Linked DNA regions of Canis lupus familiaris. The protein of the gene in region 3 purifies or fractionates together with the protein of the main gene of each other region. This does not show direct contact. Links are inferred from orthologs where the notes say so. Each region holds a gene or a part of one and is shown on either strand. Other genes may lie near its edges.

Region 1 (4,084 bases), on a different chromosome or scaffold from region 3:
GTTTGGTACTTATATGCCTTTTTCTGTTGATGGCAAACCATTCACCCAGTCATTCTGCTCCAAACCTTGGAGTGATACCCAAGGTCCTCCAACTCAACATCTAGTAAGTCATGCCAATTCTGCTTTTTTCCATTTGTTCATTCTCTTTCATTCTCATTGCTACATCCCTGGTTTAGGCCTTAAAATTCTTAAAGTGTTCAGCCGTTTCCAAATTTTCTATCTCTGTGGACGTCGCACATTTGCCTTTCATTCCATTCATCGTATAATGTAAAAACTCAAGCAGTAATCAATAAATATGATTTAAAAATTCTAATCTGGGGAATTTATGAAATGCAAATGCCTGGATCAGAATGTCCAGATGGTGTAGGACCTTTAGTCTGTATTTAAAAAACGCATCCAAGTGCTTCTGATGCAGTCGGTTGTTGGACCGGTGGAACCATTAGAATAAAGCACAAATTTCCTCAGCCTGATATTTCTCTTTAGGGTACCTTTGCAGCTCCATCTTTTACTACTACTTCTCTACACGCCAGCGCATATGAAGTTTTTGTTGGCCTTCGTGAGGATCCTAACACCTTCCAATCACACCTTTTAAACTACCAGGCCCAGTCTTTCTATGAATATCTTCACAGCCAGAAGTGATCCCTGAACTCGATTCTCAGACCTGGCTCACAGCCACATTCTGTCTTACTCCTTAGTTTGGGGATTCTCCAGCTTTCTCTCCTTGGGAGCTTGTAAGATCGCTTTCTGCAGAAACCCAGTTTGCTGTGTCTTATTGTTCGCGTGCACAGAGCCTTGTTCACATCGTGGCAAGGGTCCTCTACAAGGATGTGCAGGATCAGTGCCATTGCCTGACTTGGTCACCGTTGCACATGCGGTGTCGTTAAATGTTCCCGGCTTCTAGTGGGGCTTTCTACGCGCATTTGTGGATTCAAAGAATCAAGAAGCAGGAGCAGGGGGAACATAAAAAATAGTGAAAGGGAATAAAGGGGAAAGGAGAAAAAATGAGTGGGAAATATCAGAGAGGGAGACGGAACACGAGAGACTCCTAACTCTGGGAAACGAACTAGGGGTGGGGGGAGGGGAGGTGGGCACTGAGGGGGGCACTTGACGGGATGAGCACTGGGTGTTATTCTATATGTTGGCAAGTTGAACACCGATACAAATAAATTTATTAAAAAAAAAAAAAAAAAAAAGAAGCAGGACCGCGTCGGTCACCGCCCAGGGAACTGCAAGTCCCAGCGGGCATTGCGCGGGACGTCGGCGGACGCGGTGACGCAAGGGGGCGTGGCGAGCCCGAGGGAGGGGTCGTCCTGCGGGCAGCCGGAGGCCGGGGAGGCTCTGGAGCCTAGGGCGAGAGAGGAGCGAGGAAGGTGAGCAGAAGCGAAGGAGGGGACGCGCTGCCCGGCGCCCCCCAGTCTATGGAGCGGGGTAAGATGGCGGAGGCGGAGAGCCTGGAGACAGCCGCGGAGCACGAGCGGATCCTGCGCGAGATCGAGAGCACTGACACGGCCTGCATCGGGCCCACCCTCAGGTACCCCGGGGACCCGGGCCACCGATGGGCGGGCACGGGCGGGACAGGGGCCGGGCCCCTTCGGGGTCGTGCGCCCGGCCGGCCGCTCGCGGGGCCAGCGCCGGCCCCGCCCTTCGGGGATCCCCGCGAGCCACCTCCCCGCTCGGCGAGGCGGGTCTCCGTCCACCGCCCGGACGTGGGGTCCCTCCTCAACCGCCGGCGCGCACAGCCCAGTTACTCCGCAGCCTCCTCTTGCCTTCGCCGGGCCGGGGCAGTCTTGGTTCTGCCTCCCAGGCTGGCGCGGAGCTGGGCGACTAGAGCGCGCCCCGCAGAGGGTAGCCCTCAGCGAATCCTGCCCCTGGGGACCTCGCCCTTCTCCGGCTCAGACCCCATCCTGCCCTAGACCAGAGTCCTGCTCTACGGACGAAACGTAAATTCACCCTCGGTCTGATGATCGGAAGTTAAACTCGTGCCTCCTGAAAATCACAGCCACTTCTCAGAAACGAGTTTCTGAAAATCTTAGGCCTGGAAGGAAGGAAGTTCCCCTCAACCCGCGCCCCTCTCCCGGGAGCGGGTACTTGCCGAAGCCCGTTAGGAGGACGACCTCTTCCAAAGGCGCAGCCTCATGTAGTCTCATCGTTGAGAGAAAGTATCACCCCTTCTGCCTGCCCCCCTCATACCATTACTTCCCCCTCCCCCTTATTTATCTATCTATCTATTTATTTATAGATTTTATATATTTATTCATGAGAGACCCAGAGAGAGAAGGGCAGAGACACAGGCAGAGGGAGAAGCGGGCTCCATCTGGGGAGCCCGGGGCGGGACTCGATCCCAGGACTCCAGGATCACGACCTGAGCCACAGGCAAGAGGCTCAAGCACTGGGCCATCCATGCGCCCCCCCTTCACCCCCATTTAGTTTGTAGATGTCAAAACAAACCTCCACTTTCTTCGACTTCATGCATTTATCAAAAACTTAGGCACCCCTTACTAGGAAATTGCAAGACATTGTGTTAAGCAATTGACAAATGGAACTTAAAAGGCAGAGTAGTCCTATTAGGTGGATGCTATTACTACCCTCAGTTTATAGATGAGGCACAGAGACTTTAAGTGATTTGCTCAAGGTCACAGAGAAAGTGGGGGAGTAGTGAGTCCTACTCAGGCTGTCTGGATCCACGGTCTTAATTTTTTTTTTTTTCATATTCTTTTATTGGAGTTTGGTTTGCCAACATAGAGGATAACACCCAGTGCTCATCCCGCCAAGTGCCCCCCTCAGTGCCCGTCACCCAGTCACCCCAATCCCCGCCCACCTCCCCTTCCACTACCGCTTGCTCCTCATAGTCTTAATTCTTAACCTCTGTTATGTCTCAATTGGTGATTATCATCTCTCTGTACTTCCTGTTAATTACTCACCAAATTCAATTTCAAACCACCTTTCCCTTTCCCCTCACTTTACTGAGGCCCTGAAACTAACTCATCTTCATCTTTCCTGTTGTACATCCTGATCTTCTTCATGCAGTCAGTAGATAGATAATTCTCCTACCTACCTTGTACAGTCTTGGCGGACTGTTCCTCCCTTAAAAAAGAAGTTATAAATCACTGCCTTTTTTTTTTTTTTTTTTTTTTCTTCCCATAGGGAGAGTTGCCTTATGAAAGAGTGTTTGAAGGAGGAGGAGGCGGAGACTTTACTCCTCATCTCCACTGCACATCTTTCTTCTCTGGGTCACCTTGTTAGCCTACTTCCCTCTGTACCTTCTCTGTCAAGACCATTCTAAGTAGTTTGCCTTTGTCCCTTATGGCACTGGGATCATGACTATCATATTCCTTTCTTTTTTCATTTTCTTGAGCTCTTAAGGATGAATGTTCCTTCTTTCATTATCTTTATTATTTTTTAAGATTTTAAAAATTTTATTTGAGAGAGGGAGAGCAGGAGTGGGAGGGAAGGGCAGAGGGACAAGCAGGCTCCCCGCTGAGCAGGGAGCCCAGATATGTGGTTGGGTCCCAGGACCCGGAGATCATGACCTGAGTTGAAGGCACACGTTTGATCTGCCTTGAGCCACCCAAGCACCCTTCATTATCTTTACTTTATAAAAACTACAGACTGCTTACTAGTATTCTAAGTGCAGTTCTAATGGTTATTGACATCGGTTTTTTTTTTTTTTTTTTTAAAGATTCTATTTATCTATTCATGAGAGAGGCATTTATCTATTCTCACAGAGAGAGGCAGAGATATTAGGCAGAAAGAGAAGCAGGCTCCATGCAGGGAACCTGCCGAGGGACTCGATCCTGAGCCAGAGGCAGATGCTCAACCGCTGAGCCACCCAGGTGTCCCAACATTGGGTTTTTATAGCACAAAATGTTACTGGAGTTACTGAGGATGCTGTTTCAGTATTTTACTAAGAAATTTGGCTACTGAGCTGCAGTTCGCAGCCAAGCAAAGTTCTCACTGGAGTAGTTGGGATTACCAGAGTTTTTAGGAAGGGTTCTTTATCAGAATACCCTCAATATTGTCTTGAGTTGGTTGTGGTTTTCAATTGCTGTCAGTCTTGGTTTATATTAATTTAGTGTTATCAGTG
Region 2 (3,970 bases), on a different chromosome or scaffold from region 3:
CCCAAAATTGTTTGATCACATTTTAAGGCGGGGGGAGTGTATGAAGCAGGTCGTTTTGCACGGCACTTGTACTCTTAAAGATACCTAACATTTTAGTGAACGGGGAAACTTCACAACATACTTAAACACCACATACTTATATTATTTTTCTGTGCTGCCTAATATATACTGTAAGAAAGTGTGTTATGACTCAAAAGGATACACTGAAATGCTATAGTGTGGCAATATATTCATTAGAGAGTTAGCATAATTTAAAAAGGAAGCATATATTTTAATAATTCCAATGTTTTGTTATTTGGGCTTAATTTGAACTCTTTTTCTTTCTTTTTTTCTTTTGATTCTGCATTTTTATTTGAGAGGGTGTCTTTTACTTTTAAGCTGTGTTCAAGACTATAAAGAGTATCCTAATGCAACTTAATATAAATATAAATAATATATAAGCAATATATACGTATACATATACACAGAGCCAAGCATCAGACCACTGATGTTGTACTTTCGGGGTTCACGCGAATAAGTCTAGATGCATTTCTCAGGTCCTGGAGTTGCTTGGCGGGTTTCCCCACACCTTCTTCAAACCTTTTCTCCACCACAGGGAGGACGGTCTCATACAGAAAGGACGCATTCTGTCTGATAAAAGCCTTTTTCTCCGGATCCTGCTCACACCGAAGGCTATAATCCACATGCTGCACAGCAACCAGGATGATTTCCACCAGGCTCTCCAAAAGCACCATGTGCAGCTCTGGGAAATACAGCTTCAGCGCTTCTTCCAAGAAGCCCATGGTCTGTTTGGTAAAGGCAACCACCGTGTAACTCAGGTTCACCCAGCAGTCATCTCCTGTGTACTGCTCAAAGTTTCTTACCCCACAACTCTTCATCTCCTCTTTGAGTTTGCCCAGGGCTTCTGGGGTCATCAAGTTCATCCTCCTCCACATCTCCTCAGAGTTGCGATGCTTAGTGGCTTCGATTATGATTTCTTTGTAACTGTGCAAGGCCCCTTGGATGTCCTTCACCAGAAGGGCATGGATGATGAAGGTGAGGTCCAGTCCGATGTCACCCAGTTGCTGACAGTGCTCCTTTGCCACTTTTACACACTCAGCCGCCGTGGAGAGGCTCTCCTTACTATCGAACACCTGCTTGCTAAAAGCATCCACAAACATGCCCATGGCTGATCTCGCCCAGACCACAAAGGCAGAGTAGCAGCCGCTGTCAGTGCCTGCAAAATCCGTCTCAAATTCCCTCGCAGTCTCAAGAAGGCTGGTAAAGAACACGTGGCAGAGCTTATGAATGTAGAGTAAAGTGGCGCCTTCGATACGAAGCTGACGTATTGCAGTATGCACAGCTGCTGCCCTGTTTCTCAAAAACAGCTCACAAGCCTTTGTGCACTGGCCAAGGCGGATGAGTTGAGAAACTGCCCTTCGAGTCGCCTTGGGACCGCCTCTCAGGGAACGATCCGGGGACAGTTCGAAAACTAGCACCTCGGTGAGCTGTCGGACCCGCTCATCCACTTTGGCCCTTAGTTCTTTAACAGGAGGTGGACTGGGCTTATCTTCTAGGTAGTGGTTCAATTTGTCCAGCAGGTCAACGGCTCCTTCAAAGTCCCTCTGCGCGATACAGACATCCAGGTCTTCGGGCAACTCCTGGATCCACTCCACTGAGAGATCCACCTTCTCCTCTTCTACCTCAGGAGTAGCTGGTTCGTCCTCTTCCTCATCCTCAAATGGGTTCCCGGCTTTGGAAGTCACCTGCGGTGGTCCGCGAGGGGCCGCTGCCTCTTCCTGCTCCCTTCGCCGCTTTTCACTGAGGGCCCTCTTGGTTTCCTCCAGCACTTCCAGCCACTCCCGTTTGATTTTAGCATTCTCCGCCTGGAAAATACGGCTCTCGGGAAACATCAACAGCTTGAACATGTCCTTCATGGGCGGGTTGTCCTTGACATTGACCACGGCCAAACCGTCCAGGGGATAGAGGGCGTTGTAGCGATACATCCCCCGCCGCTGTGGCAGCCAGGTGGCCACCAGCAAGCAGTCGTTCATGAGAAAGCCGTGCACCCGCTGCAGTTGCGCCATGTGGTCAGCCTCGTATTCCACCAGGTCCCCGTTGTACACCAGGTACTGCCCCGGCGTCTCCAGCAGGTGCCTGCAGCCTTCCACCTTCTCAAGCAAGGTGGTGAGGGTGCGCTGCTTCCCTTCCTCGCCCGGACCCGAACTGTCGCGGGAGGCGCCCCCGGGAGCGGGAAAAAAGCCAGCCTGGCCCCGCAGGTGGTCTCGGCCCCCCGCGCCGCCGCCTCCCTCCTCCCCGCCCGAGGCCGCGGCAGCCCCGGCGGCGGCGGCGGCGGCGGCCGGCAGCAGGGTGAGCGGGATGCTCTCCAGGCTGCTCTTCTGCTCGGTCAGCAGGTGGCTGAGCTGATACATCTCGCTCTCCAGGTAGGAGATCTCGCGGGCCGTCTCTATGAACTGCCGGTAGTTCTGGTAGACGTTGCGCTTCAGGTTCTGCGCCGTCTCCTCCGCCAGCGCCTGGATGCGCTGCCGGTGCTCCTGCAAGTCCCGGTCGCCGTCCGACTGCTGCGAGAGCTGCTTCACGTACAGCCGCGCCTCGAAGCCCCCCGACTCCAGCTGCCGCCGCAGGCGGCTCGCCCCACTGTCCGACATCGCCATCGCCATTTCCGTCCGAGGCTCACGAAGCCACTGTCACTACCGCCGCCGCCGGTGCCGCCGCTGTCGAGACCCACCCAAGCCCCGCCGAGCTCCGGGGCTGAGGAAGCAGGATGGAAGAGAGACGAGTACGCCTGCGCCCGAGCCTGAGCTTCGGGCACCGCGCCTGCGCAGGGGGCCGGGCGCAGGCAGCGCGCATGCGCAGGGGCGCCCGCGGCCTAGAGCCCATGCGCCGGAGGCGCTATTGCGGAAGAGAGTGGAGGGCGAGGCGGCGAGACGCGGTACTGCGCATGGGCCGGGCGTGACGTTTGTGTTTGAAGTGAGCGGCGGAGCGTAAAGGCGGTAGCCAGTCTCCTGACGCCTTCCTAGAGTCCAGGCCCTGGGAGCCCCCGTTTTGAGCCCACTAGGAGGTATCCTGCAGAGTTCTCTTTTTTAAGCCCCAGAATCTTGGCCTCGGCGTTTGGGGCAAACTCAGTTCTCGTTCTAGAGCCAGTTATTCCTGAGTTCTCGCGAGATCGGCGGGCCGGCCCGAGAGCCGCCCGAGAGCCGGTACTTCTTAGGAGCTCGACCAGGCTCTCGGAGCCTGGGATCCGTGGAGCCTGCTTAACGCCTTCGGACGCCGCCTGGGATCCCGGCAGAGATGGACGAGGATCTGGTGTTGGCACTGCGGCTTCAGGAGGAGTGGAACTTGCAGGGATCGGAGCGCGACCGGGCCCAGGCGCCCCTGTCGCTGGTGGACGCGTCCTGGGAGCTGGTGGACCCAACCCCGGACTTGCAGGCCCTGTTTGTGCAGTTCAACGATCGGTTCTTCTGGGGCCAGCTGGAGGCCGTCGAGGTGAAGTGGAGCCTGCGAATGACCCTGTGAGTCCCGAGCCCCGCTGGGGAAGCGAGAGCGGCTGGCAGCTCCTCTGCAGCCCCCGGTCCCGGGGGGCGTGAAACCTGGGGGTCTCGTGGTGGACACCAGCAGCTCCTCTCGCTGTCCCTCTCCCTCCCCTAGTCTCCCTCCCTCTCCAACAACTTTAAGAAAGCTAGCTGTGTGGCCCATTCCGGTAGCCGATTGATTTGTAAAGGACACCGGGAGAGAAAAGGATGTCTTTGGATCTCCCCTCACTTGAAAATAAATTAACACGTTTCTGACCCAGGAGGGAGAAGCACCCAGAGTCAGCCCCTAAGAAAGAATGCCGAGGAGGCAGCGAAGCCTCCCAGAGATGTGTGTTGTCCTCTTCTGTGCCCTTTGAGATGTCACCACTTGGTAGTGAGCTCAGGTGTTAGGAGGGGGACGGGGCTGACGTTTCCGTATTTCTGGACCGAAAGGATCT
Region 3 (3,511 bases):
AATATTTTTTGAAGTTTTATTACTCAAAATATAACTTTGTATCATGTGTAAAGCTGGATCCTGAAATGTGCTTTGTAATTTCTGAGAAATATCCTGCAATTCAAATGCTACTTCTTACCAGCAAACATTAAAATTGATTGCATTTTTGTGTGTGTGTGTGTGATCACTACAGCAAAAAAGAGCTAAAGGGTCAGACAACAGGACGAATTTCAACTCAGACCTTTAAGGCACTGGGCAGACATGTCAGTGTTCTGAGTGTTGTGAAATACCAGAATCATCTGGCTCCTCAGTGAACAGTACTCCTTCTTCCCTTCAAAATAAACAACGGATAGTAACAAATACATACTCAGATGAAACAGGCAGTGGCACACCAGCATTATGCTGCCGGGAAAATGGTCCTCCATCGAGGTCCTCTGCTTCAGTCTGCAAAAATTATTCAGGTACTTTACATAATAAAAGACCAACAATTTGACTAGTTTATATAGCAAAAGCCTGCTCAGTCTTAAAATTCCTAGGAGAGAATAGATTATGAAAAATAATGATTTTTAAAGGTAGTATTACTGATAAAACTATATAATTTAGTATGTTGTTTAAGAATGTTTATAAAATGTTTTGTTCTTAGATTTTATCTGAGAATTATTGTGGGCTGAGAAGATAGGCTTGTGTGTCCCATGAAGGGAAAGTGTGGACAGAGAAATTACAGAAGGCTCTGAGGGGCTGTGGGAATGGGGGGAAGGTAGCTCAAAAAAACCCAGAAACAACTTTTAAGAGAGAATTTTAAAAATTAAAGAAATCTCATTAATCATTCAAATAAAACTCTGGCATTAAAAAAAATGCTATTAAAAACCCTTAGAGGGGCACCTGGGTGGCTCAATTGGTTAAGCCTCTACCTTTGCCTGAGGTCATGATCCCGGGATCCTGGGATGGAGCCCCACAAGGCAAGGGGCCCTCTGCTCAGTGGGGAGTCTGTTTCTCCCTCTCCCTCTGCCTGTGCTCCCCCTGCTTGTGCTCTCTGTTAAATAATAAATAAATAAAGTCTTAAAAAAAATTCTTAGGCTAACAAGCCAACTTACTACCATCATCATCTATAACAGCAAATTCATTTTATGATTGCTTTTTTTATGTTGACTCTGTTTTTTTAAGATGACCTGATATTTTTTTCAAGTAAGCTTTACACTCAACATGGGGCTCAAACTCATAGCCCCGAGATCAAGAGACATAATGCTCTATCAACTGAGCCAGCCAGGCATCCCAAGATGACTTTAATTTAAAAAATCACTTTATTTGCATTGTGCTTTTAAGTTTTTCAAAATATTGCAGCAGTCTCTCATTTCTTACATATGTGCCACCTGAGAGGCATGCTGAATAGGGATTATTATATTCATTGTACAGATAAGGAAAACTAGGGATTAAATAATTGGTTTAAAGTCTCATAGCTAGTTAGTAACAAAGACATAGGAAAGATTCAGATTTGGGGCTTGTTTCTTTCTTTTTCTTTCTTTTTTTTTTTTTTTTTGCTAGACCATGGTATATACACTGAAATATCTTTTTTCTTTTTGGCAATTATATTTTTTCTTTATGCTAAAATTGCTTTTTGAATAATATTTATTACAAAGTAAATTCAGACATTTTCCCCTCACTAATTTAGAGGAGTATTAAATCTGATGCTCAAACTCTAACTATCACTGTTTTTTTATTATCTTCTGGTATGATAAAAACTACTGAAAAAAATCCTTACACTGTGAATTTTTTCTTTTTTCTCTTCTGATATTGAAATTGTGACAATAAATTAATTAGGCTAATTATACTGCAGATCATAAATATTAGCCAATAAATAAATGTGAGCCATACCATAGTTCCAGGCATACTTTGATGTTGCTGTAGTTTGAAAAATTTACTTATGAAGTCCTGTTCTGCCAGACACAAGGGCTCTAGTTCACTTAGTACCTGTTCAAAGATCTGAAGAAAACAAAAATGAACTGCATCAAATGCTTAAAAAACTGCCACATTTAATTCACTTTTCTGTAGGGACCATAGATACTTTATCTATAATCTCAATAGAATCCCAAAAGCAACTACTCCAAGATTGATAGGATGATGCAGAAGTATCAAGGCTTAACAGGGCCAGGCATACCTAAAATAAAACTCACAATAATGATTCACTTGAAATCTGCAAAGAGGAACACAGAGATAAACTTTTTAAACTTAATGCATTGCAGAGAACAGTTTAACTTCATAAAAACTGTTATTTCCTCTTTACTTTGTAGTTGGCTCAAAGAACTTAGAGATGGGGATCCCTGGGTGGCGCAGCGGTTTGGCGCCTGCCTTTGGCCCAGGGCGCGATCCTGGAGACCCGGGATCGAATCCCACATCGGGCATCCCGGTGCATGGAGCCTGCTTATCCCTCTGCCTATGTCTCTGCCTCTCTCTCTCTCTCTCTCTATCATAAATAAATGAAAATTGAAAAAAAAATTAAAAAAAAAAAGAACTTAGAGATGCAAGCACTTAATCATTTTTTCATGTAATGATTTATAATAAATTCTAATAAAGCTGTTATATCAATGAATTGATAACACACAATTCAGTTGCCATCTGACTAGTATTTTTTTCAGATTCAGAATTCTAAAGTAAGATATGGTTAATTCATAGAGTCAACAAAGCCCAAATCCTCAAACATACTTAAAGCAATAACTGCTATTAGAAAACAAATGTTAATATTTAAGACATATTTGTTCCTTTATTTTACCTTATCAAATTTGGTCCTGTCGGCAACATCGAGATCAGAGGCAGACATGTTTCCCATATCCAACAAAGAAGATGACTGAGATCTGCGATTCCCTGAACTCTGAACGCTGAGTTTATTTAGACTAGAAGTAGATCCAGTTAATTTCCCAGAACTTCCATGAAGACCTAAGAAATAATAGAACTTTGAAAGTTGTGACCTTATGGACAAAAGACCCATAGCGTAAATGAGGGCTGTCTTCTACTGTCTTCGTCTTCAGTGCTCATATCAGTCATTGCACAAGTCTACTGCATGGGGTGGGGGTGGGGGAGCTGTAGAGTGTCCTGCTCTCTCATCAGCATTTGTGCCCTATTCTTCAGCATACTGTAAAGAATAGTGAAAACTACACAGATCTACAGAATAGGACTAAAGGGGTCTCATAATCTATACCTGGCCCAGTACCATCAAAGTCACCTGATATTTCCAGACTAAAGTAGATGGAAGATTTCCTTCCTACTCAAAAGACATAAATACAGATGAAGGCCAATGACTCCTTAGTGTACTAGCTAATGTGACTTTTTAAATTTTTTAATGACTTTTTTTAATTTCTGAAGAAAACAGCCATATTCCAATATTACTTGCCTCCACATTAAGTGAAAATATTGGGTTGAACCATATAAAACTGCTAGTACTCGATCATTCTTGCCCTACAAAAAGTCAATTACTATGATTCAACTTAACACATTCCAGAACCCCGAAACTCCGCTTTGTTACTGCTCTGTTCAGTAA

The links. Proteins that work in one complex are often made in the same cells at the same time.
Region 1: the proteins of EXOC1 (region 3) and EXOC6B purify together in Homo sapiens (affinity purification with mass spectrometry; 3 studies listed by BioGRID and IntAct, counting the BioPlex papers as one, with this or other methods). This does not show direct contact. The link is inferred for Canis lupus familiaris from reciprocal best matches to the Homo sapiens genes EXOC1 and EXOC6B.
Region 2: the proteins of EXOC1 (region 3) and EXOC8 purify together in Homo sapiens (affinity purification with mass spectrometry; 3 studies listed by BioGRID and IntAct, counting the BioPlex papers as one, with this or other methods). This does not show direct contact. The link is inferred for Canis lupus familiaris from reciprocal best matches to the Homo sapiens genes EXOC1 and EXOC8.

The regions. Positions count from the first base shown.
Region 1 is NC_049238.1:50,495,453-50,499,536, forward strand, and holds the start of EXOC6B (exocyst complex component 6B), read left to right. Parts: upstream 1-1,276; 5' UTR 1,277-1,418; coding exon 1,419-1,531; intron 1,532-1,763; exon of another isoform or gene 1,764-1,940; intron 1,941-1,982; exon of another isoform or gene 1,983-2,155; intron 2,156-4,084. UniProt on the Homo sapiens protein: Component of the exocyst complex involved in the docking of exocytic vesicles with fusion sites on the plasma membrane.
Region 2 is NC_049225.1:8,511,565-8,515,534, reverse strand, and holds the start of EXOC8 (exocyst complex component 8), read right to left. Parts: upstream 2,809-3,970; 5' UTR 2,661-2,808; coding exon 477-2,660; 3' UTR 1-476. Other genes in the region: DNA-dependent metalloprotease SPRTN, read left to right, coding at 3,292-3,512. UniProt on the Homo sapiens protein: Component of the exocyst complex involved in the docking of exocytic vesicles with fusion sites on the plasma membrane.
Region 3 is NC_049234.1:48,917,389-48,920,899, reverse strand, and holds part of EXOC1 (exocyst complex component 1), read right to left. Parts: intron 2,911-3,511; coding exon 2,747-2,910; intron 1,960-2,746; coding exon 1,852-1,959; intron 424-1,851; coding exon 347-423; intron 1-346.